Yarrowia lipolytica: one gene and its partner. The protein of the gene in region 2 purifies or fractionates together with the protein of the main gene of each other region. This does not show direct contact. Links are inferred from orthologs where the notes say so. Each region holds a gene or a part of one and is shown on either strand. Other genes may lie near its edges.

Region 1 (3,301 bases), on a different chromosome or scaffold from region 2:
GTGGTTTACGACGGACTGTTTGCCTTCTTTGGTAAGAAGAAATACTACTGTCTACAGGCCAACTTGAACAGCTCTCCAGCACGGCACTCCTCGTGGATCAAGCATCTTTTTAGATCAACAGGGAGTCACAGGGACCCCTGGTGGGGAACTCGGTACGTCATGGTCATGGGAAGTGCCAAAAAGTATGTGTTCGACGTTAGAAAAGGGATTTTACAAAAAGTACATGAGCAGACGTTTGAGGCCCCCAAACGGAAGTTCACCTGGAGAGATGCAATTGTCATAGGGACCATATTTGGTTCCGCCGTCATAAACTGGACAGTCATCTATTTCGCCTACAGATGGTTTCTATGACGCGTACTTGTACCTGTACAATCCCATCCATCATATCATATAATATACATTTCGTTATTTGCTATACCTGTATCCTAGCTCTTATGCTGCTGTCAATAAGTTTTTCCATAACATACTGGAAAGCTTTACCTCTTTCAACCACGGAGCCTATCCGATGAAGCTATCCTCCTCCTCCAATCACTTCAATGAATCCACACTAATGATTTTGATGGTCGCCCTTCAGCTATACTTCTCTTTTACAAAACCAACCACTCACCTCTGACGGTTAATTTCTCAACTTGGCATAGCCCTTCACGATGGCCTTTTCCACTCCTGCTCTCTCCTTCTCTAGGGCTCCCAGCAAATCTCTGAGGGCCACTCCGGGTTCTTCCTTGGCTTCTCGTGTCTTTATCGCCGAGTCGCCTCTGCCTCCGCCTGTCTGGCCCATTCGCATTCCTCCAGCACTGGCTCCCACGCCTCCTGCCATCCACGAGTACTTCTTTTTGCCCGAAGACATCATGGCGGCCGTCATGTTGGCAGCCTTGTGCTGCTGGTCCTCGGGGTTGGCTGCAGACTCGGGTTCCGCGTGATCCAGACCCAGCAGGTTCTTGCGCTCTGCTCGCTTGTCCTCCCGCTCCTTGTCTTTGACAGCGATACCCTTGAGCGCACGTGACAGGCTACTGTGCACCGAGTTTCTCGATCGCCGTCTATGTCGCGACAGAACCAGCGCCTGAGTCAGAATCTGGTTGAGCCACTCCTCACAGGCGTGCGAGATGAGCAAAGCCGTTTCTCCGGCTCTATCACTGTTGAATCGCAGGCCAGCTTCCTGGCTTAGCTGTCGGACCGTGTACGCCACCCGTTTCTGGTCCAGCAGCGCGTGTCCCTGCTGTCTGTATCCGTATTGCTGCTGCTGCATGCCGTAGCCGGCCTGGGGCACTCCCTGTTGCAACAGCGCCTCCTCCTGCTTGAGATCAAGACCCACCGCCGAAATGACGTCACTGAGCTGATCAGGATCGAGTGGTTGTCCGGGTCCCTGTCCGCCGGGGCCTCCCTGTTGTTGGTTCTGTGTCTGTTGGTTCTGCGGCATGTTTTGTTGCTGTGGAATGGGTGTATTTGCGCCCGAGTTCATGGGTGACGCCTGGAACTGGCCATAGTTAGACGCATTGTAGTTGTTGAAGGTCTGCGGCGCCATTTTCGGCTTTTTGGAGATTGGTGGCGTCATGGCCGACGTGGAAGTGCGCTTGAAACTGTTGTTGGGGAACTCCTGGTGGAACTGGAGCTGCTGGGGCGGCGACTTTTCCCGGCCGGGCAACAGCACGGGCTCCTGCTTGGCCATCCCCGGCGAGGCCTGCGGATGTGGCGAAGCTGAGTCGCGTTGAGACATGTTGTTGGATGAGGAGCTGTTAGACACAGTGATTTGGTCTGCTCCTGCACCACAGGGCAGGACAGAGTTTCACAGGTTGGGAGTATGTGAGGTGGTGCTGTGTCATGTTGGAGACGGTGAGAGGAGGGAGAAGAGAACTGCTTTATATAGGCGGATTGAGCAGAATGACGGAACAAACGTGCTCTTGTGCCCAAAAAGATTTGCTAATACTCAATGAGACATCCCTAGAGCACTCCCTCACACAGCAATTTATTAGAATCGTATCGTACAATACATAATACCACACTGTACAGCAATCAAGGTTTTCTTTGTATGTAGGATGGGGGTATGTCTATGAGAGGTCTTAGAATGTCATTGTGATAATATTTTCACTCAGTTTTTTGATAAACCTCTGCTTGGTGGTATTATCAGTAATTATGAAAAATTACAGCCCATTTTATTGGTTCAAAGTACTGTTGCAGGACCCCTCAAATTGGAGCCACCAGAACCTTCTCTAATATATACTTCCGTAACCTACCATCCTCCCATATCACTTTGCTGGTGAACATGACGTAATGTTCAACGTCTTACCATCATAAGTATGTAATGTACTGAACGTAGCTATAGTTGATAACCCAGTGAGATACCACAGACACTGGTGGAGACATGTGTCGATACCTCGGATGACCACGTAGTCTTCCTTGAAGTCTTCGAACGGCGGTATTGTCAAGAGTGACTCATCTTTGATACCACTGGTGGAAGTGAGAGAGCAAGACTGTACCTACTTGGGCTTTCATGGTGGCATGAGTACATCATGATAATCGGGCTATAGGTCAGTGAGATGGCCAACTTCAAGTGATCAACGGTTACCAAAAATGACCACCAGTGTGATTGAGTGGATTGGACTAATTACTGTAGTAACTGATAGAACTGGTACATACTGTCCAGTATGTACATACATACAAAACATACATACTTATACTTACCATCTCCTGGTCTATTCCTAGCTTTATCGGAACAGCGGTGACTGTGGAAGTACAGTACACGGTATGTACTCGTAGATGCTGTGTGAATGATTACAATGTGGAGCAGAACTTGACTTGGTTCACAACATACTCCCTGCTATCATTGGTCATGATGAGGTCCTGGTATCAGCCCTCAGATATCTTCTTCCCAGATGGGTCTGCTATGAACCATCCAATTATGGGACATTAACTGAATCATACAAGAGATCTCGTCTGGTACATTGTCTGTATCTTCTCTGTATTGAATACTATTGGTCAATATATGAGCATTCTTGTCACTTGCCTTAGCTATAAGTATTCCTCTAAGGGTCTGCTGATAGTTAGCTCATAGTATCGTAGTTACAGTACAGTAAGTACAGTACGAGTAGGATATTGACGCTATAGACTACGAATACATAATGTACTTATGTACCAGAAGCTCTTACTATAACATACCAGTAAGTACAGTATGTACTGTACATACAGTAGCTACTATAGCTCATAGAAGAGAATCAGCTGTTGTTAAATATCAAGCATTACGGTACTTGTAGCCGTGAAATGATCATTCTAATCCGTCCAAGTCCATTATAATCCGCCAATGCCC
Region 2 (3,248 bases):
TGGTGGAGATGAGAGTCAAATGAATTCGAAGAGAGTGGAGACTGAAGATGGAGATGGTGATCCAGTGTGGAACTTGTCGCCATACTTATAGTCCCCAAATCTCACCCGTTGATTGCTCTCGACAACCGATCCAACATGTTCAACATACCCGTCGTCACAACCACCCCTGCACCACCCTTTTGCTTCCCCCTGCTTACCTGCCCTGTTCTATGAGACCTGTTGGAGATCCACTTGACGAAATCGAGTCTTGTTTCGATAGTAGACGTCTCTTGTAGTGTCTTGTAGTCGCTCCAAGCAACGGTATCCCAACTGGGAAGGCGTTTTCGGAGGGAGAAATGCGGAAAAACGCCGGAAAAAGAACTTCGCAAGAACGGTGTTGGATCCACCTCAACTACTCACGATATGTTTAATGTTACATTGCCTAAATACTCTAGATATCCTCCTTGGTTGTATCCTCGATTCCGCCTTCCCCCTACCTCTTCTACCTCGCTTGCGCATTCCCTGTCTACCTGTAATAGTCGGGTCTCTTGAGGTTGAGACCGTACTCGCTGCTTGCCGACGACAAGTCCTCCATAGTGAGGACAATTTTCGACCGACCCGATGTGCTGCTCTGCACCTGCGCGCCTCCCACTCCTGCAACCAGAGCCTTGGCCCGGGCCTGGGGGTTGGAGGCCGAAGACACGGACGACGACGACCGGATGCGCGAGTGCTGGTAGGCGTCGGAGGCCAGATCTGAGATGAATTTCTGGGTCGCCAGCGCCAACAGTCGTTTGATCCGCACATCGTTGGTCTGGAACCCCGATTTTGCCAGATAGTAGTCTGTCACCGCGTCAGGAATGATGGGCGCATACTCGTTCATGTTGTCCAGAAACTCGCTCAGCGTCTTGTCCTTGCGCGTCACCGGCACCGGGCCCGGCACCTGTGCGGTCTCCTCTTCCTCTTGTGCCGGTCCCTCCAGCTCAAAGTCGATATCAATGTCGTTTTCCTCGGGATTGGCATCCTCCATGTCAACATCTTCTGTTCCGGGAGCTGCAGGAGCCCCAGAAGCCCCAGAAGCTCCAGAATCCCGTGCGCCTGGTTCCTTGTCCTCGGAGTTCTTCTCTCCAGTCTCCTTCTTCTCGCCATCCCCCTCAACACCATCTTTGCCTCCCTCTTTTGGACCTTCCTCCTTGCTGTTTGCGTCTGTGTCTGGTGCGCCTTCCGTCGGGGCGGGCTGCGGGTCGTTTTCGGCAGCGGCGGGCTCCGCGGGCTCCGTCTTGACGGTCGTCTCGGGCTCCTTGTCCTTGATATCGCTCATTGACACGTCTTGTGGTGATGACATTTGCAGAGTGGTTGCAAAGTGGGGCGCGTGCGGAGTGAAGTTAGCTTTGCTTAGTAATGATTAGTCAGGGTTGCGAAATGGGCGAGAAGTGGATAATGGAGGAGAGACGAGGTGGGGAGAGAGACGAGGGGAGAGACGAGGTGGAGAGAGACGATGTGGAGAGACAAAGATGGAGAGAAACGAGGTAGGTGAGCTTCTTACCATTTCCAGTGTGTCTGCAAAACTAGGTTGGTTCCTGTTTAGTTGAACAATAGTTAAGGGAAAAAGTACGCTGGGGGTGCCAAAGCGGGCTTCTCGAGGTGCTAGACGGACGAAAAATGTGTCAATGGTTAGAGAAACTGAAAGGATTAATTTTGAGGCTGTTAAATCAAAGAATTATACTGTTTTTGAGCCACTGTGGGCATGTTTCTGAATTTACAAAGAATGTTTTTACTTGGATTTAGTTGGGACAAACAGAAAGAAAAATGTGAGAAGGAGGAAAAAAACATAGAGAAAAAAAGAAGAAAAAAAAAAAGACTGTAAAATCCACAAACTGCTTAAAAAATCTATACAAGGGTCGAGGAACGAGTGAAGACTTGGAAGATGCGGTTAATGGATCTAGACGAGATGGTCATCTGTGACATTCTATCATAGAGCCACTTGTTGACGGCAGCAAAGTGATTCCGAAGCTCAGACCGAACACTGAGTGCTGGTTGTAGCGAATGGACTTGATACGAGCAGCAAAGGTGTTATTGTTGGAACAGTTCCTTTTCCCAGAGAATCAGAAAGCCATGTGAGAACCACTTGAAGGTGGAGTATGGTTTGTGGGTTAGTTCTGTGAAGATGGGCTTACCAAACAGTCCTCTGGCGCGACTAGAGGCCGTCGGTTGAATCATCGCTGTCTGGTTCAGCAAAGACGATTGATTACGGCAAAGACGATTGATTGCAGCAAAGACGATCGATTGCAGCAACGACGATCGATAGAGCAAAGATGATTGATTACAGCACAAGACTCTCCGTACCAGCTGCTGATACAGGAAGTCGTTGAGAGCAGTCGAGACAAGCAATCGAAACACGCAGTTGGCATCAGAAGATGAGAAATGTATGATCTGATCTGATGATCTGAGTTGATGAGTTGCCCCTGTCATTGTCGACTTGGTAGGACTCATGATAACCAATGGTGTCCTCCAGTATCGCCAGGATGGTACGGTATGTACTGTACCGTGCTCAAACGCAACCCTGATGTCTGTTTCGCGGCCATGATGAGCAGAAGTTGGTCAAGCGAAAGGTTGACAATTGAACTCGTTCAACCGACTTTTCAATAGTTCTAACCACCAACTGTTTACCGTTTCTGCCTTCTCGACAATCGAATCTCTCAGTATCAGAATACCAACAGTTGTCTCTCGACAACCGCCCAACATCACCAGATCTAGATCATTGCTTCACGCCCGGTGGAAGACGAATCCGGTGGAAGAGGAATAACGCAATCTCGAAGGTCATGCTCGTCCCTGGGCGTGTCTCGACCGTCAGCTCTGGTTGGCATGGTCCCACATTCTCAGCTGGGCTCACGAGTACGATATTCACCTTGCCAACATGTTTATCTTTCTTTCTGATATTTCACAGCTCCGCCGCTGGCCGCCCAGAAAACAGTCAACCAACAAAAATCCAAGAATCGAGGCTCCAATTGTTGATGGCCATTCAGTGCGAGAAATGGAGACTGTGCTGCGCCGGCCGAGAGCGGAGATAGGTGCAACTCGAGCAGAGCCAGGGGAGAAGGGAAGATGACGACTCTGTATTGGCGGATGAAGAGAGCTGGCTCAAACAGACTGTCCGTGACCCACAGACTGTCCGTACTACCGATAGACACGGCCAGACTGTACTTTCAACCGACTGTAATTCTTACAGACTCAACCAGAGTTGTCCCTGACCCAGTACACTGTTGCCCAGT

The links. The genes of interacting proteins can lie anywhere in the genome.
Region 1: the proteins of YALI1_E21430g (region 2) and YALI1_F09456g purify together in Saccharomyces cerevisiae (affinity purification with mass spectrometry; 7 studies listed by BioGRID, with this or other methods). This does not show direct contact. The link is inferred for Yarrowia lipolytica from reciprocal best matches to the Saccharomyces cerevisiae genes TAF10 and TAF4.

What each region holds. Positions count from the first base shown.
Region 1 is NC_090775.1:944,107-947,407, reverse strand, and holds YALI1_F09456g (uncharacterized protein), read right to left. Parts: upstream 1,715-3,301; coding exon 617-1,714; downstream 1-616. Other genes in the region: YALI1_F09481g (uncharacterized protein), read left to right, coding at 1-351. UniProt on the Saccharomyces cerevisiae protein: Functions as a component of the DNA-binding general transcription factor complex TFIID. Binding of TFIID to a promoter (with or without TATA element) is the initial step in pre-initiation complex (PIC) formation.
Region 2 is NC_090774.1:2,141,052-2,144,299, reverse strand, and holds YALI1_E21430g (uncharacterized protein), read right to left. Parts: upstream 1,322-3,248; coding exon 506-1,321; downstream 1-505. Other genes in the region: YALI1_E21443g (uncharacterized protein), read right to left, coding at 1-1; YALI1_E21417g (uncharacterized protein), read left to right, coding at 2,512-2,572, 2,626-3,047.